Lepisosteus oculatus: one gene and its partners. The protein of the gene in region 1 purifies or fractionates together with the protein of each later gene. This does not show direct contact. Links are inferred from orthologs where the notes say so. Each region holds a gene or a part of one and is shown on either strand. Other genes may lie near its edges. The genes, in order: cebpb, atf3 and atf2.

Region 1 (10,381 bases):
CTGGGACAGCTGCATTTCTCTGAACATGCAAGCAGGAGGGTTGATTACAAGGGTGTATCACGATGTCTGGCCACTCTGTGAGTGCTGTTGGTCATTTAAGTGAACTTTGGGGCAGTGCGGAGAAAATCAAAAACAAGACAAATAAAAGTGAAAAAAAAACCCTTATCAGCTTTTGTCATCTCCACAGAGCAGTGTGTTTAAAAATACATGCAACTCGTTTTGACACTTTGCAGTGAGTGTAATCTGTGATGTCCATATACAGTGTATATATAGACCGTTTCCCACATCTTTTTGGAAATGTGTGTGACTGTTTGTGAATAGAGTGGCGCAGTGGAGAAGGAATCAGCCTTCCTGCCTTACAGCACTTGAGGCCCTGGGTTCAATTCCTGGGGTGCTATTGGTGGGGAGTTTGTATGTTCTCCCCATATTCAGGTGGGATTTCATCTGGGTGCTCTGGTTTCTTTCTCCAAAAATAGTCCAAAGACATACTAGTAGCTTCATTAGCTTCTAGAAAAATTGGCCCTTGTGTGAGTGTGTGCATGTCTGTGCCCTGTGATGGACTGGTGTCCTGTTCAGGGTGTACTCTGCCCTGTACCCATCACCTGAGGGACTCCTGCTCCCCATGACCCTTTACTGGATACAGCAGTTAGAAAAATAAATGGATGTATTTGTGTGAATGTAGTATTAGAACTTATAAACTAAAGGCAATGCATTTCTGTTATATGGGTACATACTCTACTGACAAGTGATTGATAAAATCACTGTTCTTTTTTCTGCCTTAATGAAATCAGACCCCTAAATGACAAAATACATTCCCTTCTTTTAAAATGACTGAAACCCCTACTGTTTAATGCCAGGAAAATACCAATTTAAAAAGCACTTTAAAAATGTATCACATCATCTGCAAAATATATGTATGTGAATGCTCAATTAGAAATGTACATTTTCTTTTAAGTATTAGGTGTGTTGGAAAGAACGAAGTGTATATCTGAAGCTGTGCGCACCTGTAAATAACAGCTTGAAATAAATAAATTCCAAATGTAGCCCACATCAGATATGAGATCAATGGCACAATGATAGATGGTGAAAACCCAGCAGAGATTTTTACAGAGCAAGTCTATCTTGAACAGTAGTTGTCTTGTGCAGATTTTTTCATACATGATTACAGATTTTTGACATGCAGGCTAAAACTTCCTAAATTGACACATCAGATCTCGGAAAAAGGGGCCGGAAGTGTTCAGGTGTTACAGTATTCCTGTGGTGCTCATTTGGGAATGTGCTATAAATTGCGATACTGAATTAGAACTTGTGCATGGGGAAAAAAATATTACCACCAACACATGAGTGTCTGAGAATTACAAAAACAGAATGAAACTAAACCATTTCCAAATATTTTATGTAACCTAGGTCACAGTAAAGGTAATTTTCATCTTACCCTATGAAATATAGTCAATTTTCTTACATAACTACATTAAACACTGAAAATATATTGATCTAATGCTTTAGGCTCGAGTGTATTGCTTTGATACAGTAATGGACATAGGCTCCTTTTGGATCTTGTTGTCCTGCAGCTTTAGACTGTATACTGTTTAGACTGCGAAATTGCAGACGATATCACCACTGTCAAGAATTCCCAGATCACACTATCGTCGCAAAACTTAACGCCTTTACTCAGTTTTCTTGTGCTGAGCTCGATGTAGCTCCTACGATAATCTCTTAACCAGCTCTGGGTTGTATTAAAGGATGAATGCGTTCGGCAGCTCAGTATCTTCAGAGCCACGAGTTACCACAGCTTCACAGGTGCCTTTTCAGTGAAGGAAAATAGCGGTGAACCCCATTCAGATATCATGTGAATGCACCGGCTTACAAGACCTCTTCTGAGCCATTCACGCAACTTGCGCTATAAGCAACAGAGACACGAAAACAAAGTTTGCACCAAAGTAAAAATATTTTTAATTCAATAAAATAGTATTTATACATTTCATTATAATTTGTATATACCTTTCCATCTTTAACAGATTACTTCATTGCATTGCCAATACTGTTACATCGGATTGCATCATTTGCGCAATCCAACTCCCTTGACAACCGTTGCTAAAAAAAAGAGCGTACACTTCGTGTTTTCATCAACATTTCTTAAATAACACAGAAGTATATTAAACGTTAAAACTCGTATAAAAATACAGTAAACAATTTTTGAAAAAAACAAACAGACATGGTATCACAAGTGGTAATTTATCAACAATCAGTCGCATATTCCATGTTCCCAAGCAAACAACACCCACACGCTTTCAGAAATACGGTTCCCTTGTAAATTGGTAAACAATTTGATCCTTTTTTAGGGAAAGAGAAACATCTGAGTTACAAATAATACTTCCCAGAGAAAAAGGGGGGCCAGTATTTTCCAGCTGGCAATATAAAAAGTACCCCCGCAGTTGAAGCGGCGGCCGCGCGTACCGAGTCCCGCAACGGCGCTAGCACTGTCCGGTCGCCGACAACAAGTTCCTCAGGGTGGCCAGCTCCCGGGACAGGTGCTCCACTCGCTTCTGCAAGCGCTCGTTCTCCGCCGCCAGCTCCAGTACTTTGTGCTGGGTCTCCATGTTGCGCTGCTTGGCTTTGTCCCTGCTCTTCCGCACCGCGATGTTGTTCCTCTCCCGCCGCTGCCGGTACTCCTCACTGTCCTTCTCCAGCCTCTTCTTGCCCTTGCTGCCCGAGGACATCTTCCCGTGGGACGGCGACCCCCCAGCACCTGGCGGGGCGGGGGTGCCCGGCGGGCTGGAGCAGGAGGAGGAGGCGGTGGAGAGGTTCCCGATGCTGCCGCTGGGAGCCGACTGGTACTGTAGATAAGACCTCATCTCGTAACTGGGAGAGCCCCTGTCCATTCTTAAATCTTCCTTTAGCTCCTGCTTGATATAGCCGCCCAGCAGCTGCGGGCTAAACACGGTGTCCACTCGCGTCTCCAGTAACTCGGGGAAGCCCAGCAAGTTCGACGGTCTCGGGCTGTCGCCCTGATTGGCACCCCGAGCGCTCAATGACAAGTAGTTTCTGTAGTTCTGCAAGGTGGCGGCACGCTTGTTCTTGCTGTCTTCGGCAAGAAAAGTGGAGAAGATGTCCCCGCCGTGGTGCTGATCCAGGGTTTCGACCGGGATCTGCTGCTGCTGCTGCTGGAAGGGCAAGGCGGGGTCCAGGTAGATGCTGAAGTCGATGGCTTTCTCGTGCTCGGCGATGCCCAGCTCCGTCATCGAACCGCCGATGGACTGCTTGCAGCCTGTGCTGCTGCTGTGGTGGTTGTTGTTGCTGCTGCTGCTGTCAACACCTCGGAACGCAAGGTAATCCCCGTCGTAAAAGCCCGCCACTGCCATCGATCTTAACACCCGCCGGTTTGCGGGACCATCGGGATCAGGGACGGAGCTCCCTGGCGGACTTGCTTTGCTGGCAGAGGGGGAAAAGCGGGCGAACTGGGGTGCACGGTCTGCCTACAAATAATAATACTAATAACGTCCGAGGCGATTGCTCAATCGGTGTGTCCTGGGAGGCAGTCTTTGGCAGCGCCCACACGCTCGGCTCGGCGTCCAGTTCGACAGCTTGCGCTTGCAACAGCGTATATATAGCGAACCTGGAAAGAGGGCGGCGTCAGACCTCAGGGCAGGGTGGCGGCGTGACGGGCTGTACCGGTTGAACAGCAAATCAGCTCGACGCTGTAGTCCGAGAGCTCGTTTCAAGATCAAACTAGTTTTTTTTTTCCCCAGTGCTTCTCTGAACTTTTTTGCCCTCGTAATGGACCTGCAAAAGAGCAACGCAGTGCTGTGAAATAAAAAAAGGCAACCGGCGCTTCTCTTAATGTTGTGTATTTGGAGAAAAAAACATTGACTTGTGAGCTGTACCCTTTTCTGTGCGGAGACTAGGGGGCTTTTAATACACCATGTTGTGACATAAGAAATCGTTGCGTTCAAATGATCAAACAACACTGCGTGTTTTACAGTAATGTCCTGTACCATTGATTATTCTTATTTAATTGCTCATTGACACAAAGATATTGTTGTTTAACGGCGAGCGATAACCATCCTAAGTGCCGAATTTCTCTCATGGATGTCTTTCACTGCTCAATCCTCCCTCCCAAACTACGGTCCCTGCCAAAAAGCGGGGGTCGGTCTTCTGTAGTGTCAAAGTCGGGGGATCCGCCGTCCTGTTGCGCAACACACGCTGGCGAAACATAAAATACTAATAAAAACATAAATACGCAATTGTAATGGCCAAACGTTCTTGTTGCATTTTTTTTTCTTTCAAAGCTGACAAACCAAAAGCCCAACCACAGCTTGGACATTGCTCCACAGCTCCTAGCTCTAGTTACAAGCACATTACTCGCGTCGATCGCCAATGCCAGGCGACAATGTTAGGGAGTGAAAGGTCGTTCTGTAAACTTGTTTTACAACAACGGGGGAGGCCTTTTGGTGCGCTCAAGGGAAAAAAAGGTCTCGTATCTGCATTTTTTTTTACAAAAAGAAACCTTTCAGACATTTTAAAAAATTCAAAATGACTACTGCCACAGTCCGTTTCATGTCTTCTATTGACTACTTGTTCCAAACTCAGCTCCCCAGTTTCTTATGAAAAAGACTGAATTCTCTTCCTGTGCATGTTTGAGCACCGACAGCGATCACTAAACCAGAATGATTTGTGCGTATTTGAAAAGGATGTGAAACTTGCTTGGCGTGTCATTGAGCCAGGGTGCAAGGGAGTTGCAGCCCTTTGCAACTGCAGAGGACACTCAAGTCAACTCAAGCACAGGGCAGACGCGTAAAGCAAAACTAAAAAAAAAATGAGGACTGGAAAGAAATGTATGATGGCCCGAAGCATTCGAGCGATACGCAGGACGGATAAAAAAAGATGATATCGCCCCCTTGTGGCCTGACACGGAATTGTTATAAAAATTAAAAAAACACAAAGATGATGATGACGATGATTATTATATAGCTGTCCCATAGTACATGAGATTCACAAATGGATTCCAAAACAAATATAAATCCACGATTGAAGGAAATCGTTATATTATTATACGTTTCATTAGAATACCTCTTTTATCGTATTTTTATTTTGCTTTTTTATTCAGTTAGTTCGTTCGGGGACTGGTGGTAATCGTGACTTCAAACTGGTCAGAGTTTGCAGGGAGATGGGATTTACAACACGACTGGATGTGGTGACTTTGGAGTTCAGCTAATGACTTGCTAGCGGTTTGACAGGTTCGAGGTAAAGTGCAGACTGGGAGACTTCTTGAAACCTGAACTAACTTGTCGGCACACCCAACACCGGCGCCTCTTACGTCAGAGGAGCTCGGCGCAGCGCTTAACCTTATCAGCACCTGTATGACCGACCGTACTCGTGTCGAATTCACCTTCATTGCTTAGTGAAATAAGGATCGTACGGTGGTTAGCACTACCGCCTCACAGCGCTGGGGCCTTGGGGTTAAATTCCCGAAGTGTTATCAGCGCGGAGTTTGTATGTGCGCCCCGTGTTTGCGTGAGTCTCTTCCGGATGCTTACTGGACTTACTGGTAGGTTAAGTGGCTTCTGTAAAAATTCGCCCTGGGGTGGGTGTGTGTGTGTGTTAGTATCTGTCTGCCTTGTGATGGACGGGCGTCCCGTCCAGAATGTACCCCGCCTTGCACCTGGTGCTTGCCGGGATAGGCTCCAGCTCACCCGCGACCCAGAATTGGAAGAAACGGTTAGAAAATAAATGGATGGACGGCGAAATAAGAAAATTAATACAAACAGTTCCGATTTGTGATTTTTAATTCAAACGGTTCTGTTATTTTTGCTTTTTCCTAGCTAACAAGAGAATTCTTCTGCGCACAGTATTGGCATTGGACTAGCACAGTACCAAAATAATAAAATAATAATTTTAGGTTACTCATTGTTGAGTTTCGTTCACTGACAGATGTTCTCACATTTTTAGGAGCGATGTCTCCTAAACTGTAATAAGTGATTCAAAAAATGAATGGCACACTGCGTTTATTTGGCGATTTTATCCGAAACGGATAACCAGAGGGATTATTAATTTAAAGGTACATGAATGAAAACGCATGTTAAAAATGAAACAGGAAACAGAAACATATGGATTGTCTAAAAAACACGTGGGTCACGACCCTTTCAGTTTCGGGACCACTGTAACACACCTCCGAGCAGCCGAATCTTCAAAATAAAGATTTGAAACACCTAAGGTATTAATGCCTTTGCTCGTGCAGCTGTGCTTAAAACTGACTTTCAGGTGTTATGCCTTTTTGTTAACACCCTTAAACTTAAGGAACGCTTAACGGAAACACGAAGGCAAAATTTAAATGTACTTTCCTTAATGTAACTGGCCGCTGAACCCTAAAAGCAGATGTCATTTAGAAATATTGCGGATAGTTTTTATATGACACTTTGATTATGAACACCAGACTGCAACGAGAACCCGTGGTTGTTTCGTAGTGTGCAAAATGCACTCTGGGCTTCCGTCTGTATGAGCAAAGTAGGATCTGATGTCATGCTGTTATATTTTAATTCGCACCACTTTTTTTTTCCATGCAACTGGAATGTGTCCAATGTCCACAGACGGCCGTACGCAGGCAGCGAGCCAGACACACGCCTCTCCCGGCCAGCCCACCCCCGAAGTGTGTCATGTTCCGTTTCTCTGATTGGCTGGGGCTGGGTGTGGCCAGGAAATACAACCTCTGCTGGGCCATTTCCATTGGTGGACCGAGGGCGCTCCGTCACCCGTCCGGACCTCGACGATTGGTCGAGCGGAATAGGGAGGTGAGAAATGATTGGCTGATGCCAGGGTACGGGGCGTGGCCAGGCCGTGATGCCGGGGCCCCAGTTGGCTCGCTCGCCGGGCGGGGGTTGGATTTGCTGGGGAACATGGCGAGAGCAGGGAGCGGAGACGGGTTACAGAGTAATGGGATCCAAGAAGACCCTGAGCCGCGGGGACCGGGCAGGGGAGAATGTCGGTGGGGCCCGCAGCATGCAGGTGCCCGGGAGCTGGCGGAGCTGTACTCTCCAGGTGAGATACCGGTGACAGCGGGCTAGCGGGCGTCACACCCACATGAGCAGCCTGCGATTGAATCCTGGTATTCACATTCACTTATACAAGAATGAATAGCTGCTACCCGACAGGCTCCGTGGAGTAGTATACTCACCCGGAGCTGAGCATGTAAGGAAATGACATATATGTTGTCGATTCTCTGCAGTTGTTTATGTATATCACGGCAGGAAAGTCAGTGAAAATAATGAGGTTTACCAGGTCCAGGTAATTGTTAAGATACAGTGTTAAATAAGAGAGGGTGTGTCGTAACCATGGGTGGGCAGCCGCGGTTCTGTATATAGTATCCGCACGTGATGCGGTTGTTGTTATGTGAGTGAACAATGGCTTTATGGACGGGGCACAAATTCAGAGCATTGTTATAACAGTGTTAATAATAATAATAATAACTGCTTACACGTATATAGCGCTTTTCTGGACACTCCACTCAAAGCGCTTTACAGGTAATGGGGATCCCCTCCAACGCCACCAATGTGCAGCATCCACCTGGATGATAGCGTTAGTGCTTTCGATAAGTAGAGTCGTTTAACGATTTTATTTTCCAGTTAGACACTAGGACTGCTGGAAATGAAATGTGAGGTATCATTATTCCAACAACTATTAAAAAATACAGGGTGTTGGATGATCTAAATATTTTCCTTAAGAAGTAACGCCACCAGCTGCCTTTTTAATGTTTAATTATATAGATGTCTATGTGAGTGCACAGTCCTTATGGGTCTTATTCAGAAGTTACTCGAGGACAGTCAGTCTGAATTGATGGCGATTTGTAATTGAGGGAGCTTCTAACTGCTTCATCCGATTCAGGGTCAAAACGGGGGGACTGGGGCCAATCTCAGCAACCATTGTGTGCAAAGCAGGATTCATCCTAGGAGGGGACGCCAGTCCATCACGATGCAGACACAGACACGTACACACCAGGGTCAATTTTCCCTGAAGCCAATTAACCTATCAGAGTGTCTTTGGACTGTGGGAGGAAACAGGAGATAATAGATCCAGAAGCCAATATTTCTGTCCTCATAAGTTTCAGTGAGTCACGTACCAAACACATTGTTTTTATGCTATTGAGGCAGTTTTTAACTGCAAGGTCGAAAATATTTTCTTGCCCTAAAGTCATTTGATATCTAGAGAGAAGTGTCTCCCATGATGCCCTCCTTCTGTCCCAGTGGAGATTCTTGTCACTATGTGAGACTGTGAGCACTGTGTTAACAAGCAAGTTCCTTAGCATTGTCAGATCAGTTCTTATTAACGTGGTTGGCAGAAACCTTTTCCTACTTAGTTACAGTGATATATGAAGTAAACAAATACATTTGATGTTTTTTGTTGACTTTAATAATAGTGGAAGATGGTAAAAAACTGTGACAGTTTTGTATACATGTATACAAAAAAATACAATTTTAAAATTATAATGGAAAAAAACAAAACTACTGCAGTGCAAAATAATTGCATATTAATACTAGATAATACCACTAAACACTACAATGAATGCAGACTTAATAATACAAATACATTTATTAAGTACTTTTTTAGCTTTTTATTTCCTGGAACAGATAGATCTAACTCTGGGACACTGTAATAAAGGGCCTGTTTTGGTTAAACAACAGATACAAATTATCTGGAAATTCCAGTTTGATAAGTGCTGATGGTAGTCTGGTTAGTTAGTGAGCTCTGTGAGTAATGTTAGGCTACATGTTTTTTTTTGTGTTATTTATGATAACCCAGAGATTTCTGCTATGTCTCAGTTGGCAAGCCCTTCTCAAAACAGAACAGCAGTTCAAGATAATATAGACCCCTGGGTTCGAGCCCACATTGGTGTAGTGAAGCAGGTCTTACTGAAAATGTCTTGATGCCTGTGGTACTGTCATTTACTGTAGACCAAGGAATGCACTATTGCAGTACGTTTTCCAGAGAGAATGAGTTTCTTTGTCCTTTTATGCAGATTCATTTTTTTTCCAGGTTGCCTACAATTATTTGAATTCTTTTGAGAAAGTTATTTTTTTTCTTCATTACCCGTGGAGCCACTGCCAAGTATATAGACGTGATAAGCAGATGTGCCCACATTAAATAATCTAAAGATTTGTGTTTTTTCCCCATAGGAACTCTTAAAATACATTATTCTTCGGTGGACTGCATCCAGGCAATTTGAAGTTAAATTACTGAGCATAAATTAACCCTGTACTAACCTTAGAGACTATTAGACTGGTGTGACAGGAATGGTCAAAACTTTAATGTAAACATAAATGTCTAGAATGTTTAAGGATTTTGGTTTTAAGCCTGGTGATGAAGATGATGATAAAAGTTAGACTTGCTTGTTTGACTAAAGGACCTGTAAAAGAGGGGATTGCTTTGAATTGGACAGCAATTACTTTAGAAAATGATTTAAAGAGTATCAGATTGTACATGTTAATAGAAGTATCACCAATAAACTGTTGCGGATTTGGGAGATCATCAGTGTTGATAAGTTTTAAGCCAGGTTATGACATCCCTATGGAAGATTGCCAACTTCTTAAGATTAATGATGGAATAATGTTTCCTAAAACATTCAGATTATGTACAGTGCCTTGCAAAAGTATTCACCCCCCTGTCCCTGGACTTTTTCACAATTTATTGTGTTACAGCATGGAACCATGATGTATTTAACTGAGAATTGTTTCCACTCATCGACACAAAGTCCTCTATAATGTCAAAGTGGGGGAAAAAATCCAGACATTTGACAAAATTAAAAGTAAAAAACAGAAAATGTATTGAAATCATAAATATTCACCCCATCATTATTATAATATACTATAGTATATACTGTACTATAGAATAATTTCCAGATGTGTCATAATACCTTCCATAAAACAATGGATTAAAGAACAAAAGCAAAACATTGACCATATTAGAAGTCCTTTTTGAAAATGATAATTTAAGAAAACTTTTCCCTATTGGTCATTGTAGTAAAAGTGCCTGGAAAACAGATTGAATATAAAGAGGAAGTCTGGGCTCTAAACTGGTGTAACAAGATCGAAAATGTGATTATCCATGTCTCTGACCTCATTTTACAAAACTTAAAAATATCAAAAACAGTGATAGATACGCTATATAGTCTCCAGTAGCTTGCAGTTTTTCTTTCACATTGTGCTTCACAGGTCAATGGTGTATTTGAACAAAATGGGATTAATTTCACACCACGACTCCTTCTGATGCCACAGCAGGTTCTGCCCCACCTCAGGGCATCGTATTACTAGAGCGAATGAAAAAAATCAACTCGGAGAATCGGCTCCTTCCTGCTGGTACTCTGGAGCCTAAGCGCAGAAGCCAGACTAGA
Region 2 (11,248 bases), on another chromosome or scaffold:
GTTGACTTGAACTCCTGTTCAAGACTGTGGCCCTTGACTGAACCAGATGGAAAGAAGAGATTATCTGGAGCAGAGCCCAGCATTTTGAGACCCAAAGATGTCAGGATGAGGAGAACTGAGAAGAGCTCACCGTGACTCAATTACGCAGCACATGACCACACATCACCAGAGACAGCACCCGTTCAAACCTGCTATTCAGGATCCTAAATTGGTTTTATCAGTCACCTTTCATGATGGGTTCATGGAAGGCTGTCATTCTTGACCATGAGGGATAGCCAGTGAATCAACTGTATACATCAAGGATTTCAGTTATCTGAGATCATGTTGTTCAGTGGACCACATGTAAATGTACTTTCTTATAGTAATGAGTTGTTATTATTAAAATAATTACTAATAACCACAATCTGGACATATTATATGATAAAATTGTGTGCACATAAAATACTGCACCCCTGGTTAACATTTTCTTTCTGTTCCTCCCAATCAAAAAAGCCTGATGAGGGGTGTAAAACAAACTGTTTTAATCTTGCAAAATGCTTTTAAATGGTTATGTTCTTTACAATAGAACATAAGTTATCTTTATTGTTACCTCTCAGTAAAGCTAAGGATCTGCACCTTTGGCTGGAAGGTTGCTGGTTCAAATCCCATGGCCAGCAGGGGAATCCTACTCCACTGGGCCCCTGAGCAAGGCCCTTAACCCCAGATGCTCCAGGGCTGCCATATAAATGACTGACCCTGTGCTTTGACCCCAAGCTTCTCTCCCCCTATGTGTGTGTTTTGTGGAGAGCAAGCTGGGGTATGTGAAAAGACAAATTCCTAATGCAAGACATTGTATATGGCCAATAAAGTTATCTTATCATAGCGAAAGTACAAGGGCAACTGATGACAAAAAAATTTAAATGAAGTAATATACGGTAATACATAAAAGTCACATAAACTAAGATAAAAGAGCTTTAAAGTTGAAAGAAATTCAGAAGAACCTGTAAAACTTTTTAAAAATAATTATATGATTATATTATTGACATTGTTTTCAAAGATAGTTTCTGATGTAATTCGAAATAAGACGTTTACCTATGTTCAGAACAGATTATTGCGTTTACACTAATTTTTTCTTTCTTTGTTTATTTCTTATTAATATGAGTAGTAGTAGAAGGTATTACTTAAATCCAGTAAGTGAAGTGCGGCAAGTGAACAATAAGGAATATATACATTATACAGCCAATTTAGTTAGGCAAAAATGTAATGCTACTCTCCAGACAACTTAAAACAGTCAGTATACCATGTACCAGAGAAATCTGGCATTTGTCAGTTAGAATGTTTAAAAAACATTTAATTGTTAGTTTGTATCTATATCAGATAGACAGGAACTTAACCTGCAGTCTGTTTAATAATAATATCCTTGAAACCTAGATGCAACTAAAGTACAGCAAAATATATTATAGTTCTTACTGTTTTCACATGTATCTATGATTTTCAGAAATTATTCTAAGATATAATTTTTCTCAAACAAGTTTAAGATTATACAATACTTGTATTTTTATATATACTTTTTGTTGTTTATTAGGATATTAAAAAAGACCCAGCTGCCTGAGAGAGAATTTTAATATTTGCAATTCACAGTTAAAGCAATAGTGAGAGTTGCATAGTAAAACGCATGTTTCTGTTGAGTTTCTGTCATGTCAGTTTTTATGCATTTTAAGGAACTAGGAAGGGATTGTGGAGTATCAGCCTCCAGTGGTAGCAGTGTGTCTTTTTTTAAAGTTAACTACATTAACCTCATCAAAGACAGTTCTTTGACTTTCATTCCTCACATACAGTCCCTTTGCTCTATCTGCGAGTTGTCATTTAAAAGAAACAGAATAAGTTTCAGATTTACAGCAGCTATGACTGTGTTTCAATTTTCTTTCTTAATTCCACAGTGTCCCTTGAAGTAACTCATGGTAATTATTACCCAATGTTGTGCAAGCTTTAAACATCAGTTAGTTCATACCTCAGAAATGCAAGATAACCTCTGACAGAATTTCAACCCAAAGCTGCCCACAGAAACATTTTAATTCACAGCTTGATGGAATCTTTCTGGGTCCCTGCTTTGCATTAAGTGTCCCATCCAGCAGTCTATCATGTAGCGTTTTAAAGGTTTGACATAATCCATTGATTGATTAAATAGGATAGATCAATTGCAAAATGTAACATATTAGAATTGATTTAACCTCTCATGCCTTGTTTGTTTAATGACACACTAGACTGGGTGAGGAAACTTTGAGGGTACCAGATCCAGATATTCAAAACCCTCAAAGGCACTGACGAATACAACATGGAGGACTTCCTCAGATTCATCAATAACACATGAACCATAAGACACAAGACACAAGTGGCATTTAGGTTTGAGAAAAGAGGGCACTCCTTAACCAAGGGGTTGAGAGGATATGGAATAAACTACCCAGCTGTGTTGTTGAAGTCGATACCCTGGGTTTGGGGTGGGTTGAATATCCTCCTCTTATTTGCCACCATTCTTATATTCAAATGCACCAGAAATACCCCACAAATGCATTGAAAAGGTATTTTGTAGTGGACTGAGATTTCTAATAAAATTGAAGGTGTTTCTTTATCTCTCAAAAGAAAAAAAAAGACTTTTGATCTCCCATACATTACAAATCTAAATAATTTCAACTCATCAGCTATTATGTGGTTTAAATAATATTTGTCATATTGTTTTGATCTTTTCTGCATTACTGTCATTGTCTGTAAACTTTCCTTTATAAAGTGCTATTTTATTCCCCTGGGCTGTAATTGTTTGAGGGGTTCATCAGTTGAAATTGCAAGTTTGAGAGCAAAGCTGACTTTGTTCTTTATAAAAAGTGTGGAAGACAGTACAAAACGTGTTACACTTGTTACTGTACATCTCTTTCCATTTTGGAAATTAATCAGATTTGTTTTGTAATGCACCTTTCATGACACATCTTATCAGAGCTCTTTAGTATAAAACAACCAAAATGACCTAATATGGGCTGTGAGATCATTCCATAGCCTTGAAGCAGCAGAAGAGAAAGCAAAGCAAACCAAAGTTTGAAGCCTGATTCTGGGAACTGAAAGAAGGCCAGAGTCCAAACAATGCAAATGATGTGTAGGTGTACTGGGAGATAACAGTTCACTGATGTAAACAGGAGTCTATTCAGGCCTTTAAAGGAGGGCACTGATATTTTAAGTTTTCTTCTGAAATGCATTTCATTCTGAAATGCAAGAGCAGACAAGGTAAAATAGGAGAATTTTTTAACTTCTATATTTTAGTTTTGGTTACGTTAGCACTTGAGCTCTGAGGCAACTTAATACATAAATAACCAGCAAGCACTGTGTTACAGTCATCAAGCCCGAAATCAAGAAATACCTACCTGTACACGTATTGGCTTGTTTGCATCAGAGTGAGAAAGACATGAGTAAATTACAAAAATTACAAAGTTACCTTTCATACATTCACACGTTTCAACATTGCAAACAGGAGTTCCAAATGCAAAGCTGATTTTAAAGCTAAACCGAGATTCCTGAGCTGAATGTATGGACTGATTCCAACATCAATGTCAAACTAAAGCTATAGTTACAAATTAATATACTGTACCTGATGTTGTGAAACCTAATGGAAATTCTATTGATGTTATTACACATCATTTATATGGCGCTATTTTTATATGTATGTTTACCAAATGCGCTTTACAGTCGCGTGGGAGAAATGTATGATGTCATCTGTCCAAGAAAAGGCTTGGTAACCTCCTTCCACAAACCCTTCAGTATTCACTTCAGATGAGTTTTAATTTAACTGGTTGCCTAAAAGCAATTTGACCTTTGACTCATTTGTAAGCAAGTGAAATTTTACATATGCACACTGGAGTGCAGTGAGAATGTGAAAATGTTATCAGAATGTTATCAGGTATCATGTTATACCTGTCAACCAGACACAAACGTCCAGATTCAGAGACAGTTTCTTCCCACAAACTCAGATTACTGAACTCTACCCCTACCACTGGCTCACACTGATGTTTTTTTTTCAAGATGTATGTTATTTAACTTGTTGTTGCTGCTGCTGTTCTGTGTCTACAGTACTTTTTTGGTGATTCCTTTAATGTCTTTGTATCGGAGCATACATGCAAATACGCATTTCATTGCACTTCTGCATATGACAGTAAACTGAACTGGAACTGGATAAAACAAAACATGTGTCAAAGGCAAGATAGGTAACACTGAAATTACTGCGCCCAGTATTATTTCGTTATCTAATTGGAAAGATACAAAGGAACATGGTAAGGGAGTAAGCCACTAGCCATGGATAAATGACTTGGTTAAAATTTACATGTGGTCATTACATGATTTCTATAACATTAGCCCAATGACGCCAAAATGAGCATATCAAGTTTGTCACGTTGCTAACTGGGTAGTTATTCCATATTAATTTTCATATTTCATATTACTTTTAAGAAGGAATATGATGCTACAAATTATTTATTCATTTCGCTACTGAAATGTTCCATTTGTACTTTTTTTTGTTCCATTTGTACTCCATTTCAAAAATAAGAAACTTTAAACGTTGCAATATATATATATTTCCAAAGTAAATTCTATATTGAGCAATTTACATTAAAAATCTAAAGTAACGTTCTGCATTTAAACAGATAATTTGAGAAACAAACATAAGACACATGTTTGTATTCCCTTTTGTCCTAATGAGAATTTTTTTAATTTACTTAAAACGTCACTTCGTTTATAAAAAAGTCGTTTAATTATGGAAATGTCTCCCACAATGTTACTGTCCTTTTGGAGATATGCCTCTTTTTTCAGTCCCCTTTATTGATCGTAATGTACATACACCCAGTCACATTGGATAATTTGTTTTGTCGATGCAATTTACGGTAAATCTGTATTACAACTTTAAGAGAGAAAACCATCTCCTGATGTACCAGCAACTGAAGAGGGAGATGGTCCCCTTTTCCGGGAAGTGAAGGAGTCATTTTTTTTTCTTCTGTTTTTGAGCAGTGCTTCAATCAGCTGAGAAATGAGAAAATGACAACTACAGCGAAACCCCTCCTCTACCAATAGATTACATAGGGAACGGGTACTGCAGAAAAGTCAAAATCAATGATGATCATTTGCGCTTTCTGTCTGGGTGACACATCGTGTTCCCGTAAAACCGAAGATTACTCACCCGGCGAAACTGATATAAACATTAGCGGCCTGGGCTCACCGAGCGCCTATTCTCGCAGAGTGACGTCATCTTGGAGGAAGACAGAAAGGGAGCCAGCTGAGCTGTAAATGTTAAACACTCGTTTTACTTGTTTTGAATATATTCACTGAGCTTTTGGACAGTGACAACAGGGAGCGACATTTAAAGCCAGGATATACATTTTAACATGAAACAGTATTGGCTGCTGTAATTACTTTACCCGAAAGGTGTAATACTTTTTATTTCCAGCGATGAGTAGCCTTTGTTGGAAAAAAAAATATGATTTGTTTATTGACTAGACAGAAACTTTTTCGAAATGTAACGCATAACTGCATTTTCAGATTTTCCTGCGATCAAGACCAGCAGAGCTAGCTTTGTCTGCGCAGCTCAAGAACTGTATATGCATTCTGTTGTTTTTGCAAACATTTGCCCATATAAAATTGTTGAGGCTGTTGTACTGAGGGTAGTTTTAACATACGCAGAACCCGAGTTAAATTTAATTTAATTGTGAATCTCTTACATGATGAGTGTGAATCAGACCATCGTCATTTTTTAAATGGGTGTGTGGCCCTTACTCCTTAAAAGCGTAAACAGGATTTCTCGTTTACATTATGAGTGTACACCGGTCCCTAGTATTTACAAAGGGACGGGGCTTTTTTTTTCCATCACATAAATTCCTGTGATGGAAAACAAGCTGGGTCGTTAAATCAGAAATCAGTTTCTTTTTTTATACCAGTCTCCCAGTTCTTTTAATAGTGGGTTCTAATTTCTTAACAGTATTTTGGCAATATGTAAACTTTAAAATAAAGCTAAACTGTAAATCAAAGTAAGAGTCTAGAGCCTTCAGGAACTGTAAAATATTGGTTTTCGATCTCGTAAATTGGGGTTGTACTCCAGACCAAAGCTCTCAATTACTGCCGTGAAAATGAGGAACTACAAAACCGTTCCCCATACCACGTAAATTGTCAATTGACACATGCTTAGTGTGACTTAGTAGAAACTGGGTGTTGAATGGGAATCAGGGCTAAATTTTGTAAAACATTTTCAGTTCGATCATGAACTAGGATTTAACAGGAATGTGTGGATTCCCTTGAATAGAGACATATAGTACAGTTTAAAAAAGACTTTCACAGCAAATTCTTATACTCATTTTGCTTAAAGCATTAATTGTTAAATTAACATGTAAAAACTATGTTTTTTTAAAAGCAATTTTTTCTGTATATTAGCTTAGGTAAGCAACAAAAAATATATATTAATATTAAGCAATAGTATAATTCTAGAACTGTATTATTGAGAAAAATGTAATGCCAGGTGAGTGTATATTGAATTATATCAAAATCACACACGATCTGTTGAGCTGGTATTTTACAAAATGTATAACTATTTCCACTGATACTAAAAAAATAACATGTTCCTTATAACTTTAAAATGCAACTTTTGAAAAGGACTCAATAGAAGATATTGTGTTATTTCTGTATCTATATTAATTGATACCAGGACTGCCTGTAAATATATTATGGTTTTAGTCATGGTCTTTAACATGGGCTATGGTCATCATAGCTGTGGCACAAAATCTTTACCATCACAGTTTTTCCTATGATCCTGAAATCGGCTTGTTTTTAAAGCATATTTACAGAACTCTGTTATACAATAGATAAATAAATAACAATAATTGTTTTGAATTTCAACTTGTAGTTTAGGTTTCTCTTACAACTGAAATAACAGTTCTTTCTTCTTTAAAAGATTAAAAGAGAAAATGGTTTTCTAATTATGACAAAGCAAAATCAGACATTTCTTGAAACTTCAGCACTTGTCATGTCGTCACCCTCCTGTTGTCTTACAGCAGGTATGATGGTTGTGGAAATAATTTGTCAAATGATACTAGTGCTGTGACGTCACTTCCTCGAGATTCAGTTCACTCTACTTTCGTAGACAAAGGAGCAAGACACCTTCCTTTATGTGAACTGTGATAGAAGTGTCCCAAAAATTCCACACAGCTGGGGGCATACTCTATTAAAAGAAACAGGCAAACTCATTTTTAATACAAAAATAACTTCTGTGACTCAGCATAATTTTAACCTTGGTGACCAGATTGTATCATTACATGTAGAATGACTCTGCTTCCTTTAAATAATGGTTGTAGTTTCCTTATTACATTCAAGCATTGCAGAAGAGTAGAAGTCATGGCTATTTTAAAACGAAGTTAAATCGGTTCTGTGTCTTCTGTTCTCAGCTTTGAAAGCGAGTAAGTTGGTGTATATTTGTTTACCAGGCTATGGCCATAGCAACACTCTCCCACTGCCTTCTTGCCAAATCATCTTTCATTTCAGATGTTCAGACTGCTGGGGAATGCACATCCCAGCTTTCCAAACACTCAAAAAGCTCCAATCCTTTTCTTCTTTTCAAGGAATATATGTCTGGTATTGTTTTTGTCTTATTTGTCTGTTTTGGGTTCAGACTAGTTTAACATCCCCTTATGCCTCATCAAATTATGTGAAACAGTAGTCAAATGTTTTTTTTCTTTATGCATCATGTGAAACTAATATTCCTGTTCCAGGCTTATTTTTGGCCACAATAAAACACATATCTTTTGTAAAGAAAAAAGTTTTGTATTTTCATATCCTCATGAGAAAGCTGCATAGGGTCGACTAAACCTTATTCTTACCAGTGTTTCAGTTAAGTTTTTAGTTATATTTTGAAACCATAACCACTTACTATAAGTTATATTAAACAAGTACAGGCCAAATTCACCTGTTGTTATTTGAAATATAATGAATTTCTGGAAGTAATATGTAAGAAAGATTGTGCAAAATATGTGATTTGGTAAATGCAATATTTGTAAATGTTTCTTGGCAGTTGTGTAGCTTATAATTGGGTTGTTTTTCAAAGCACCATTGTTTTAGTTTTATAGAGGGACCTGCAATATGGCAACAGCTCAAACAGTGAAGAATATTTTCACCTGTCAGATTTTGAAAGTCTGCTTGGCTATTAGATTAAATGCCATTGTGTCAGTCCTGAGTCTGGACCAAGGTTCATGAGCTGACCTTTGTCCTTAATCAGAAGTGAAAGTGACGTTGCTCTCAACATTTCATAAGTTGAGTAAGCAAGGCTAAATGACTCAGCAGCTCTTTTACCATTGCTTCCAGCATCTTCTAGACAGACAGAACCACTTGACTTTCTATGCACCGGTGTTTTTTCTAAGTTTGACCCCAGCAGCCACCCACAGTTTTCTTATGGACTTAAACAGAAACAACACCACTTTCTTACTTACACTTTCAAACTGAGAACCTCGTTTCCTGTAAGTATTTATAGTGAAACAGAAAACATCTGTGCAGGGTGTGTGTCATAGTCATCTCAATGCTGTTTTCCCTTGAAAGGTGTACCCAAGCCATTATTATGATGAAAGAGGAAGTGAAGGCCAAGACCATGACCGGGGTTAGAAGTGTGGATTAATGGTAAGGACTCTGGGCCCCTGATGGCACGGCTGTATGGGCAGAATTACCTCCTTTAAATTCTTGGTTGGGATAACTATTGATTTATGATAGTAAGGTCATGTCACGTCATTTGCCAAACCGGTTTATACCTTACAGTGTTGCAGAAAGCAGCGAGCGCAAGTCAGGGTACACCCTTGTCAGGGCGCCAGCCCATCACAGGGCAGGTGCAAGCCATACATGGGGACAATTTGAAGGCCACAGTAAAGGCCAAGGGGGAAAATTTGTCCTGGACACCAGGATAACTCCCTACTCTTATCCAGAAATGCCCAGGGATCTTTAATGACCAATGAGAGTCAGGGCCTCCTTTGTTTAATGTCTCATCCAAAAGACAGCACCCACTACAGCATAGTGTTCCCGCCACTATACCGGGGCATTAGGACCCACACAGACACCCCCTGCTGGCCCCACTGACACCACTTCCAGTGGCAACCATTGCTTCCCAGGAGGTCTCTTATTCAGATACTGGCCAGGCTCAACCCTGCTTAGCTTCAGTGGGTAGCCAGTTGAGAGCTGCAGGGTGATATACTGTACCTGCTGGCACTAACAGTAAGGTGCCTTACCAAAATTGCTACAGAAAACTCAGCTGTAAATTGTCACCACAGTATGCTTGTAAAACTTGGTTAATTGTAACCTCTGGGAATCACTTTAGCCAAATGAATGAAAACAACAACGCACCTAGGACAGAAAGAAGCTAATGAATGGACTGTATAACACTAATGTTCAGGAACTAACTTTAAATTAGTTATAATAACAAATTTATATTTTATTAGCTATAAATAAATTGCAACTTTAGTTGCAATGTTAATTGTGTTAAAGCCCACTCTTCACAGATGAGTAATATTCTGTGGAAGCCTCTTAATGATTAACCGTATCAAAACTGAGCTTTAATTGAAGATGATTCAACTCTTTTAAATGAAAATTAAATTAAACATTAAATCAGCACAACTATTAAAACTAAATTATTATATAGAGGCTACCGTGATATCATTTAGTCCTGTGAAATATTTGGTCATCATAATAGAAGATGGAGAAGAAATAAGCCAGCAAATTTTGTTTTATGAGACACAGAAAAGAAAGATATTGCTCTACCATTTCCTAAATGTTTTAAAATGTAATTTCCCAGCACTGACAGCAATTAACACATTATGCTTTACTGTTAATATAAAGAGTAACGATAGGGAGGAGGCTATCTGGTCTGCCATAATTGCCTAGTACTTCATACTGTAGCTTATTGGCCCAGGTTTGTCAGTCTCTTACCAATAAAAGTACTGAATATTCATAGTTCTGAGCTATACTCTACTTATTGCAGAATTACATTACAGTAATGAAGCGAGTCATGTGTTTTTTTTTTGTTAACATGCTGTTTCCAATTGGTGATATAAAATGGATATGGAATACGGGCTATGATGATACCATTGATGCATGATGAGTCGTAGTCCAATAGGAAACCAAAGGTAAAGTGACATCACCTCCCTATTCCATGGTCTGACTGAAGGCTTCCCGCTTCACTTTAATAATAAATGAGAAGCCTGACTGCATGTAAGTGCCTCATCAGCGGTCCAGGCTTCTACATCACTGGTTGTGCCAGTGCTACAGTGAGCAGTAACACAGCACTGTTTCTCAGCCTCCCAGGGGTGTGCCTGCTCCCATGTACTGTATTTTGGAAAGACAAGCCACAGCGTATTCTTATTTTACAGTCCTTAATAAATTTAGCATAACTCACTAAACTACTCAGATAACCATCTTTTGTTCAGGTCATTTTTTAGGCTATTATTACTGCATAGAAAAGGTAGATATTTATAGAGTATGCCAGTAGTTCTTCACAGTACTGAATACTTAATGTATTACTTAGCAAGTATCTGTTTTTGATACTGTTTTTATATATCATACTGTTTTGATATATAAAAAGGGAGAATTTCTCTCTCAGTAAGGAGACTTTCTGTTTTGTCTTTAATGAAGGTTTAATAGTTCACATTTCCCTACCCCAAAAAGGTAAGCAACTTCTCTATGGCCTCAGGCAAAGACACAGCAAGTACATACAGTAATAGCATGGTTTATATATTACCTTAAATCATCCGGACTACCAGTAAAAGTATCAGGCTGCATGTTACTTAAAAAGGTGTTACTTAAAATGGCGTAATAGTCATTAGGTTTGCTGCCTTGCAGTGTTGGGGCTCTGGGTTCAATTTCAGGCCTGGGTGCTATCTGCATGGAGATTTTATGATTGTATTTACATGGGTTTTTGCCAGGTGCTCTGGTTTCCTCCCATAGTCCAAAGACACAAAGACATACTGGTAGATCACTTGGCTTCTGGGAAACGTGGCCCTGGTGTGAGTGTCAGTGGTTCTGTTTGTGTGTCTGCCCTGCAATGGAGTGTCCAGGGTAAATCTTGCCTTGATCCTGTTGCTTTATTAATTAATTATAAATATTGATCTATTTAATGTTCTTACAAAGCTATTTGGGATTGTTCCCATTTTTATATAGCTAGAAGTTTTAATAAGCAAAATTCAACTGCAGTATTTTGCTTTAGGACACTCCACCCAGG
Region 3 (11,012 bases), on another chromosome or scaffold:
TTTTAGTATGCATGCACTTTCTAGGTATTTTATGGTATCCCTCATCACTTGTATTTTATAAGATTCCCTCCTTTGTAGTTTTAATCAATGATCTTATTTAAATAGAACTTATTGTTCAATGGACTTAAAATGTAACATCTTTCATGTCAGTTTTTCACATTATATGTACAGTGCTGCATATGGGGGATCTTTAATGACCACTGAGTGTCAGGACCTCAGTTTAATGTCTCATCTGAAGACAGCACCCACTACAGTATAGTGTCCCCACCACTATACTAGGACATTAGGACCCACAAAGACTGCAGGGTGGGCGCCCCCCAATGGTAACACTAACACCTCTTCCAGCAGCAATGATTGCTTCACAGGAGGTCTCTCATCCAGGTACTAACCAGGCTCAACCCTACTTAGCTTCAGGGGGTAGCCAGTTGAGAGCTGAAGGGTGATATGGCTGTTGGCTAATTAGTAATGATATTAGAGCAAATTAAACTGCATTGAGAGGACAGGGAATGTGCCCAAAGGCCAAGTATATAGATTTCAGCTTTCAACAGTAGTGGAGTCTTTCTATTTCTGAATGTCACTGTTTTAATTTAAGGACTGTACAAGTATGTTATATATATATAGACACCTTAAATTTAAAAAGAAATGTTTAAACGTTGATTTATACAGAATCAATTAGTTCCGTGCAGTTTTCCATCCCCAAAGAAAATTGCACGTCTTCGATTAATTACTTTTGATTTTGGGTTTACCTCTGTAGTCATTGCGGACGTTTATTTTCACAAACGCAACGTACTGTAACCCTCGGCTGGTTCCAATCAAGTGCAACAGTAACTTGTCAGTTCTTCTGTTTTTCAATAAAGTTGCAGCGAAGTGACCTTGACAGCCGCCATCCGGGAGTTTGCAGGGAAAGAAGCAGACGCATGCGCAGTGGTTTCTAATCGGTTCGACCTCTGTAGCCGGTAAGTGAAGGGGAAGCAAGAAAAAGGCGAAGGAATAGAACATTTACAATCCCATCTCATCCTGTCCTGGGGATCTTTGTAATTAAGTAGTGGTTCTGGGTTTCATGAGTTTTCATTATCTGTGCATGCGTGATCTTCGTTTCGGTGTTGCTGTTGCAGACTTTAGGAGCAGAATTTCCATTGACCTTAACTCTCCCTTGTTCTTCACAGAGACAGACCCGGGTTTATGATCAATTCCGAACTCAGCAACCAATAAATCCAGACAGAATGTACGCTTGTGCTAAATTCGTTTCCACGCCTGCTCTGGTGAGTTTCTGTACCACATCTGATTTTCAAAAACCACATTTTCTGGTCTTTTATTCTTATTTCATTGCGGGCCTAGTCTTGAACTTGAGTTTTTCCTATTTTTTTTTCTAAACGTTTTCTGTTCACACAGGCCCCTTCAGTTTTTAGAATGAAATGGGGAAAAAAATAAATACAAACGACTTACTGTTCAATGGTTACAAAAGGGCAGTTATCAATATTAAAGTGAACTCATATCTAGATATAAAAGCTGAAAAAATCCGGCCTTTTTAGTCAAAGTCGTGCTATTTTTCTAATTGCACAGTATAATTCAAACCTCGGTAAGGGGTAAACCAAGTAAATAATGGTGCATTTGGAATTTTTAGTTTGAAAATGACAGCGATTTATTTTTTGAATGACTTAGGCTGTGCTCAGGGCTTGGGCCTTACTGCCTTGCTCTGCAGCTGAGATATGTCCTCTAACTCAGGACACAAGTAAAGGAGGCCGAAACGTAGCACAACAAGCATGATTAAAGTACTGGAATTACCTTTGGTACTGAAAAACTAAATATCTACCTGGAATTGAAATTGATTATTGTTCAAGATTTAAACGCCACAGACGTTTAATAATTTCAGAGAGCTCAATATATTGACGCTGTATCTCTTCCTTTCTTCTCAGTGAAGCTCAGAAATTATTTACAAATTGTTGTTCGTCTCCCATAATCCACGTTTTGGGTATGTGGTGGACTTTGCATGGGCACATTATTTTATGATCATGCTAATACTTGCCCTTAACTGTATGTTTTCTATAGGTGCATTTTGTTTTATCTTAAATAGCTACAGTGAAGTAAGATGATGTAAATGAAGTCAGTTTCCCTTAAGGTGTGGGCTGATGAGGTGTGTTCCCTGGTTGATGTGGGGTTTGTTTTGGGTGCAGGTCCGTGCTGGATCTCGGGCTCTGTGCAGACCTCTCTCTGCATCAGTGCTGTCCCGGCCAGAGGTCAGAACAGGAGAGGTGAGTCTAAAGAGTAGTGCTTCAGTCCTTGAAAATGTCATTTCAGATTGGTAGAATATTGGGATCAAATTCCATTTATTGGATTTTGTTTAGTGTGCAGACCTACATTCCTTAGTGGCCGATGTGCTTTAACATGAAAATTCCTCTGAACGTCTGTGCTGTGACCTTTAAAAGTGAGAACAGAGGTGACTCTTTACCCAAAGAGTTGTGGGAGGGTGGAACAAGTTACCCGGCTGATGCCGGTACTCTGGCTTCCTTCACAAAACAGCTGGAGGAGATCCTTGGATCAATGAGGAAATTACCAAACAGACATTATGGGCCCAGTGGCCTCCTGTTACATTCCTAAAGTACTTTCCCAAATGATTAAAATAAGCTGCATCCAGATAGAAGTGTTTTTCTTTCCCTTCTACTTTTTCTACAAAGAATTAAAACTTTTCCAGGGCAAGGCTGCAGCTGTGAGCGGGCCACAGAACTCTGTCTTGGCGCTCAGGGGGTTCCAGACCAGTGCCGTCAGCAGGGACATTGACACAGCTGCCAAGTTCATTGGTGCTGGTGCCGCCACAGTAGGAGTGGCTGGATCTGGTGCCGGAATCGGGACAGTGTTTGGCAGTCTTATCATCGGCTATGCCAGGTGAGAAACATCGTCATTTTGGAGCACAGGGCAGAGGTGCTCTTACAAGAGGTAGGCAGCGTCAGTGTAGCCTCAGATGGTCATACAGTTTGGATTCATCTGTAGATCTGTTAAGATTTTCATCAGGGACGCAAGTAGGTGTGTTCAGAATTGAGTGTTTCTGAGAGTTCACAGAACTGCTTTTTCTAGCTACAATTTTTTTTTGGAAAAAGTTTCATCCATTGCAAAACAATGATTTTTTTTGTGATTTCACACTTAAGATTTTTGTGTTAAACTCATTCCGAAGTCCTTCTTTATCCACTGGGGAATAAGAAAGGTAAGAAAGTGTTAATTAGGTAGGTCGGTTCACTGTAAATTCATGTTAAATTGGTACTGAACAACTGTAATCTGTAGCACTTGTTTTTACAGAAGACTAATTGCAGTCTTTCATTTCTTTGCCCCTGCAGGAATCCTTCCCTAAAGCAACAGTTGTTCTCCTATGCTATTCTGGGATTTGCCCTCTCTGAAGCCATGGGTCTGTTCTGTTTGATGGTTGCTTTCTTGATCTTGTTTGCCATGTAAAAAAAAACTGCTTCGGATGTTAATTCTACATTAGATGTAACTACGTGTTTTACAGTGGTTACTAAAACTGTTCTGTGTTGGTGTCATGAAAGTGTACATTTTTCAGGATTTTGTTGGAACACTGTCAAACTACAAAAATAAAAACATTGTAAGAATGTAACCAATGACAGAATTAAAATACACGTATTGGCTTTTTAAAGTCTCAAATCACAGTTCCGTTTTGTGTTCTGGGAATCAAGGTTTGTTTTAAAATCTCGTTATCAAAATATTTGTGCATTTCAGTACATTGAAAGCAAAAGATGTTTCTTATTGAACACTTAATACACTCAATTGAAGGATAAAGTTTAAAAGCACCCTTTGTATCATGTAGACTTTTTTTGCAATAGCATTAAGCAAGAAAAAGTGCTTTGTCACTTAGATGAATAAAAATATCAGTGCAAAATTTGGGATCAAAATGGCAGGTTTCATTTTATTGGAATTACAAATTTGGAGCCAGATGACGTGTTTCCAGCTCTGTTTGAGGTAATTAAACTACTTTGTCTTTACAAACGTGCAAAAAAGCAGATGCGTTTTACAATGGGAATCTCTGAATCCTTAAACTCTCTAAACTCTATGAATTAGCTACATTACTCTGCTCTCCTCCCCACTAATAGCTGATGTGTGGTGAGCGTTCTGGCGCACTATGGCTGCCATCGCATTGGTGGTGGTGGAGGGGAGTCCCCATTACCTGTAAAGCGCTTTGAGTGGGGTGTCCAGAATAAGCGCTATATAAGTGTAAGCAATTATTATTAAACACATTTTTAGTTTTTTTTCATATTACACACTTTGATTGTATTCATATTTCTCCCTTTTTTGAAGTGACATTTCCCATTTTTAACAGGTAATATTGGAAAAGGTCATGCAGAAACTGGTCCAAGGTTCATGATCTGCAGATGTCCCACTTTCCGTACAGATCACATCTATGAGTCTATATGAATTAAAGTGGTTTAACTGCAGTAGCATGATGATTAGGTCTCCCAGCTTCTTTACCTGGTTAAATAGTCATTGGATCAGTTAGAAATCAAATGGGTAAGAATTGTGAAAAATGGTCTCTTCTCATCTGTAACTAGAAGCAAGAATAGGCCTAGTTGTGTTGCACCTCAAAGTGTGGTCACTGCTTTAATTATTTGAAAAAGCATAATGCAGGGATTAAGGTTCTGAACTTGAACTATTAGGTTACTGGTTTAAATACCCAGTGGAAGCTGCTGTATCCTTGCGCAAAGCACTTTAGATTGCTCCGGTAAAATTCTAGCTGGATAAATGAGTATGAATGTAAGTTGGATGCTGCTTCTCAGTATAATCAGGATAGTGTTGAGCCGTCACAAATTCACAGCCGAAAATCTCAATACCATTACAAAGTGGATATGATTAAATTATACACTGCTTTTCGAAATTACTCAAAGCTTTTAGGAACATTTGTTCAGCATTAATGTGATGATATGGGAATACTTTTCATTAAGAACTTACATTATTATGTGTCGTACGTGTGCAATGAGGGGAAAAGCTTGACTGAAATATTACTGAACAAGTAATAGGTTTATTCCATGCTGAAAAAAAGAAGAAAGAGAACACAACGTTTCGGCCGTGGAGCCTTCTTCAGGTGTGAAGAAGGCTCCACGGCCGAAACGTTGTTCTCTTTCTTCTTTTTTTCAGCATGGAATAAACCTATTACTTGTTCCTTTGCAGCCTACGCATGCTGACGCAGCTACCCACCTGAAATACTAATGGCCTACAGTGAAGACTAAATTTTACATTAGAATTATAGACAGTATTGTGTATTCATTCAATGTTCTTGAAGCATATGATCTGCATAGCATCCTTCAGGTAGATACATGCTATTTTATGGAAAACATGCAATGTGAGGATTAAAATCGGAAAGCATCGTCTTTGAACACCGTTGCAGTATATTATATCAGAGTATTTTTATAGCAACATTGTCTTTGTTATAAGGCAGGTATGGGCAAATCCAATCTTTTGAGGAATTCCTGTAGAATTAAAAGGTGCTTTTCAGTTAGCAACACGTTAAGTCCTTATAAATTTTCTGTTCTTGGACAGATTTACACAAAGTAATTTAAACCAGAGGTGGAAGAAAAGTTAGATGATCCTATGGCTCTTCCCTCCTCTAGGGTATTTAAGACTAAAATGGATTTCATTGGTGAATATTGGAAGAGTGTCTGACATGGAGGAAACTCTGACATGTGCAGTCCAAGTTAAAGAAACTGGCACTCTTGACTGATGTCTTCCAGATTTTGAGTCGGTTAACCCCTGAAAAAAAGTGTTCTGTTCCTTTTTTAAAGTACAGGTTGCCAAGCACACACTGAAGAACAATGGGTGATGGTTTGTGTGCTGCTGGCTGGTTAGTCTCCTACCTGTACCTGAAAGAAGCTGGAAGCTTCGGATTTTGGATGGAACGTTTTTGACATCAGTACTAGAAGCTGAAAACACGTGGCACATGTTGGCCTCATTTGAGTAAAATGTTTTTTCTCCTGCAAAAAATAAAACTGGAGTATGTTTTCATCTCGTTAGCAAAGTATGCGTGTCTATATTAAATCATTGAGGACTCACCTGAAAGTAAAAGCCTTTATGTCACGTATTGTGTACACCAACATGTTTAAAATATGTAAATGTAAAAAGTAGTTTTGTCTCATTCATATTTAATACTAAATACATTCACAACGATGAATATCCAAAATGTTAACACTGGAAATGCATATTAAGAGACGAAGCAGTGTTCTTTCTATATGTAACTTCAGTTTTTCTTTTCCAATTCCGTGTAAAGAACGAGGTGAAAATTTAAAGTTTGTCTTATTTAACCGGCACAAAGAAGAATCAAAGCTAGTCAACCCTCTGCCCCACCCTCTCGAATCAAAATGCCCTTAAAGCACGCGTGTACGACCACTCAGCCCGTTCTGCGCACGCCACGTCACGTTCGTGACGCTTGCGGAAGTGTCCGCGCTGGAGCAGCGGTCGCGAGATCTGGCGGCAGCCCGTGGGATTTGGCCGTGAGAAAGGTTGAGCCCGTGGGTAAGTGTGTAAACAGGCCGTATAAACCGTGACAGCCGTGGTAAACAACGACTGCCACACCGGTTAAGGTAGCCTGCTGCTGGAAAGCAGTTTAGAGTAGCAGTCTCTACTTATTTTGTCAACGGGCGATGAATGCTTTTATACTGCAGTGACAGTAGTAATAATAATAATATGGCGACGGGGGTATACCCAACCCAAGACAAGAGACTGGGATGGTATAATGATGATGGACTGTAAACAAGAAACCGCATCTTGACAGTAATGTTCGCCAGGCACCCTAAATGTGATTTTAATTCATTAACATAGTGTGTATATGTGCATTTTTGCAGTCTTCGTAATGCAGCCTCCGCATTATTGTTTACACATCTAAGTCCTCTGTATAGAATATCTAGAACTTCTGCTGTTATGGTAGGGCACAGGTAGCATCTTTTACATGCAGGTATTGTAAAAAAAAAGAAGCTGTTTTACAACACAGCAATCCAGAGTTGTTCTTTTTGTTCCCTGTTCGCCGAAGAACATCACTGTCACTTTACTTAGAGAAGGTTAGCCCTGAGAAATACTACGATTAAGTTATTTAAGAGTACCTCACACGACACTAACACTGAATGGGAGTCGATTACTTGACAGAAAGGATATCAATACCTTGTGTTCGACCGGCGTTAATTTTTAATGCAACTGAAGAGGATGCTCGGCACGGTTAAATTTGAAAATAAACGAGAGACCAACCAAGCCAGCTGTATAACGCTTCCATGCATGTTTATGTTAGTTTTAAAACGAGTTTTATGCTTATTTGTCCAATGAGCTAGAGACCTTTTCTATGATGCACAAGGCTTGTTGGCGTGTCAGTCACTCCAGAATGCTGAGCTGTGTGTGTGAGTACTTCAGGAGGAAAGCAGAAAACACTTTCCTAGAATCGCCAACGATTTGTCACCTGAAGTATTTGTAATGTGTTCTGTGTTATCTCCCGGGCTTAAAGTTTACAGACGTTTTCAATACGTAGTCATATTTTCATTGTGGTTTTTTTTTCTTGCATGCTTGTGTTGAAATCGAGACTAAACGTTATTTAAGAAATGGTTTGTCGCCTTTTGCAGTGGTCCATGATGTGATTACGCGTGACAGTAGGTCTTGAAAGTGTGGTATCTTTCTCATCTAGGAGATAAAAGTATCTACTGAATATGAGTGATGACAAACCCTTTGTATGCACTGCTCCTGGATGCGGTCAGGTATGTATGGGTGGCAGTTCTGAAACTCTTTTTAAAAATAAAAGTTGGATATAATATTTTATTGGTTGCCTGTTTTACTTAACCTTAAGACAGTAACATTGCAAAACCAGGAATTAGAAATTACACAACCCGCCTAAATATTTCAGTTCATGAAATTGTTGGCTGAATCATTTAGAGATTCATTATCCTAAATACCTTTTTTAATGTAATGTTGTATTTTTTGTAGCGTTTTACTAATGAAGACCATTTGGCTGTCCACAAACACAAACATGAGATGACACTAAAGTTTGGTCCAGCGCGTAATGACAGTGTCATCGTTGCTGGTGAGTATCAAACTGCAGATCCCAGGAAGTGGGGAGTATTTACCAAGGGAAAGAGAATCTAAAGTGTAGGAAATTGACAAAAATGTCAATTCAGGTATGAAAAATGTTATCAATAGAATTTGCTTGTATTGACGTAACGGAAGAGATACATGTTGAACTTCATTGATCTATCAATAGAGGAACAATTAATAGAGTAATCATGCGTTGTCTTCCTTTTTGTGTTGCACATATACCTAAAACCAACATTTAAAAGCTGAAGGAGAAAAACTGCAAATTGCTGAGCTTTTATTAGATACCAGAAGATAAAGGGTGACTTTGACGTATTTACTGACTGCAGCAGAGTGAGACCGATGAAAGTTAGTTTTTTTTCACTGACAAATATAGTGGGGCTGTTTCTGTTTTGAGAGTTATGAAAAATGTGCTCTCAGCCTGTCTTCTGGCCACGTTGGAAATACTCATCAGCTGTTGATACGGTGTGATCAGTCAGTCATAGAAGTGGCTGTTTGGAGTATCTTGTCTGTCATGCCTTGCAGTTAGACTGCAATGGAATTTGTCTTGGCAATCGTGTAATCAAATCGTTCGTGTTCATTTCTTTCAGTGGAAAGGAAATCTTAAAACCCCAGCCTGACTCATAACAGTTCCAGACATTGTGGAGATATATGGTTGTTGTAAATTTATTCTAGAAAAGCCCATTATATAATTTTAAATATATCTAAATAGTAGGAAAAGTGCCATTGAAAACCTACAGTTGGCTATGCTGTAATGCATTTCATAGTGCATCATTTGGTCTTACCTATAAGTTATCACCATCTTTTGCTATTTTATATTTTCAATATGGGAGAACATAGGCAGCAAAGCCATAACTTTTAAGTTGTGATTTGTGTGTGTATTTGTGCTATTCAACATAAAATAATATATTACCTGACACCTGAAGAAGGCTCCACAGCCGAAACGTTGTGTTCTCTTTCTTCTTTTTTTCAGCATGGAATAAACCCATTACTTGTTCCTTTGCAGGCTACGCATGCTGACGCAGCTACCCACCTAAAATAATATAGATTTGCATTTTGTTATTGTTCCTCAACTGATAAAAAGAGCTCACATTGTAAATCTTTCTCATTAATAGGTAGCTGTTGTTGAATCAACTGAAAGACACTTTTGTTATATATTGTTTCAGACCAAACTCCAACACCAACCCGTTTTTTGAAGAATTGTGAAGAAGTGGGACTATTTAATGAATTGGCCAGTCCCTTTGAAAATGACTTCAAAAAAGCAACAGAAGAAGACATCAAAAAGGTAACGTTTATTAAGATGCTAAGAATGGTTACAATCGAGAGGAAGTCATTTGGCACCTCTAGTCCATTTGGTATTTAGTAGCTAATTGATTGAATGATCAAATCCAGTCGTTTCTTGAAAGAAGCCAGGGTATCGGCTTCAACAACATGTCTGGTCGGCTTGTTCCATACTCCCACAACACTTGGGGTAAAGAGGTGCCTCCTGTTCTCTGTTTAGAATGCAGGTCCATTTAGTTTCCACGTGCACAAACAAACATAAAATGTAATTTATTTTTTACATTATTTTGAAGGACTAGTGCAAAATTAGTTGCCATACTGTTCTTAAACAATACTGTTATTAATAGAAATTTGCCACCTAGGAATTGTTGAGACTGTTGCCACTAAAGTTTTTTTTTTGGTTTCTCGTTTACTTTTTAAGATTGTTTTTGTCGGTTCACGATGCCTCCATATTTCAGCTACCCTTAGATTTGTCTCCACTCGCAACTCCCATTGTAAGAAATAAAACTGAAGAGCCATCAGCTGTGGAAACCACTCACCAAGACAGTCCTTTGCCTCACCCAGAATCTACTACAAGTGACGACAAGGTAAATTCTACAGAAAATCCATTGTAGATTGGAGTAGTTCCAAATCTTTCTATTACATGTGCTGAGATGGAACCAAAGAAAGGCTCAGATTATTCTGTTTTTTGGGAACAATCAATGCATTTTTTCTGTGTTGAACTTTTTTCAGTAGTGTAATTAATATTAATTGACAATTGCCTTGTTGTGCTGGCACAGATGTAAGTGATGTATTGCTGTAGAAATTAGGCACACATAAAAAGAGGAAGGTATTAGAGGCTCTTTGCTTTAGTGTTTTTTTTTTTAATCTCTACCCTTTTATATCCAGAGATAAAACAAATTTAAGTGTTTTGATGTACCTTGTACGTTGTTCTGGCAAAGTTTTCTTTCTTTTGTGAACCATAACCTTTCTCATATTGAAAGGAGCACAATCGTGTTCTGTACGGAACAAGTCTGCTGCCAGCAATGTTTGCATTGATGTTTATGGTTTATTTTACTGTCGGCATGTTAAAATATATTCCACATCACATCACAAATAAATCTGTATCTCCAAGGAAAACCGGCATAAATTCCCCTCCAGCCCCATCATCCATAAGAATATGTGCACAGAATTTCAACAGGGCTGATTTTGCTGATGGAAACAGCTATAAACTGCAATGTTACTGCTTTTCTGGAGACTCGTTATAAGTTTGCAGTAATTCTGGTAGTGGTTTTGCTATTTGCCCTCTGTTTCTGTTCGCTTCAGTTTGACAGACGTACTTACCAATAACTGCATCTGTGCCATTTGCCTTCATAAAGTGAGAGTGCCGTACTAACATTTTGTTGTACCGGTACTAAAGACTAAGTGAACAGAAAAAAGAGCTGTAAAATAGTCTTAATTATGTAACATTTGAAAAATAAAATTGAAGCAAACTGGGGAGGCATGTGGGGTGTGTAAATTTAAGAAATTATAGGTAGTTCTTGATTTGTGGGGCAGATACATTCTTGAAACATGATGTGTAATGAAAAAAATGTTATTTTTATAGGGAAAGTTGTTTTGAATGTACGTGTAAATAAGGAGGGGTTGCATTCCGGGGTCCACTCTCAGCCAGAGGATTGAACCCCAAAAGA

The links.
Region 2: the proteins of cebpb (region 1) and atf3 purify together in Homo sapiens (affinity purification with western blotting; 3 studies listed by BioGRID and IntAct, with this or other methods). This does not show direct contact. The link is inferred for Lepisosteus oculatus from reciprocal best matches to the Homo sapiens genes CEBPB and ATF3.
Region 3: the proteins of cebpb (region 1) and atf2 purify together in Homo sapiens (affinity purification with western blotting; 3 studies listed by BioGRID and IntAct, with this or other methods). This does not show direct contact. The link is inferred for Lepisosteus oculatus from reciprocal best matches to the Homo sapiens genes CEBPB and ATF2.

What each region holds. Positions count from the first base shown.
Region 1 is NC_090711.1:12,164,630-12,175,010, forward strand, and holds cebpb (CCAAT/enhancer-binding protein beta), read right to left. Parts: upstream 3,585-10,381; 5' UTR 3,363-3,584; coding exon 2,475-3,362; 3' UTR 1,930-2,474; downstream 1-1,929. Other genes in the region: peds1 (plasmanylethanolamine desaturase 1), read left to right, coding at 6,894-7,035. UniProt on the Homo sapiens protein: Important transcription factor regulating the expression of genes involved in immune and inflammatory responses. Also plays a significant role in adipogenesis, as well as in the gluconeogenic pathway, liver regeneration, and hematopoiesis.
Region 2 is NC_090697.1:18,858,947-18,870,194, forward strand, and holds the start of atf3 (cyclic AMP-dependent transcription factor ATF-3), read right to left. Parts: upstream 5,359-11,248; 5' UTR 5,192-5,358; intron 1-5,191.
Region 3 is NC_090707.1:17,191,049-17,202,060, reverse strand, and holds the start of atf2 (cyclic AMP-dependent transcription factor ATF-2), read left to right. Parts: upstream 1-6,405; 5' UTR 6,406-6,507; intron 6,508-6,514; exon of another isoform or gene 6,515-6,575; intron 6,576-6,581; exon of another isoform or gene 6,582-6,790; intron 6,791-7,598; exon of another isoform or gene 7,599-7,660; 5' UTR 7,661-7,682; coding exon 7,683-7,730; intron 7,731-7,956; coding exon 7,957-8,053; intron 8,054-9,227; coding exon 9,228-9,346; intron 9,347-9,800; coding exon 9,801-9,929; intron 9,930-11,012. Other genes in the region: atp5mc3a (ATP synthase membrane subunit c locus 3a), read left to right, coding at 1,224-1,262, 2,175-2,252, 2,693-2,883, 3,330-3,444. UniProt on the Homo sapiens protein: Transcriptional activator which regulates the transcription of various genes, including those involved in anti-apoptosis, cell growth, and DNA damage response.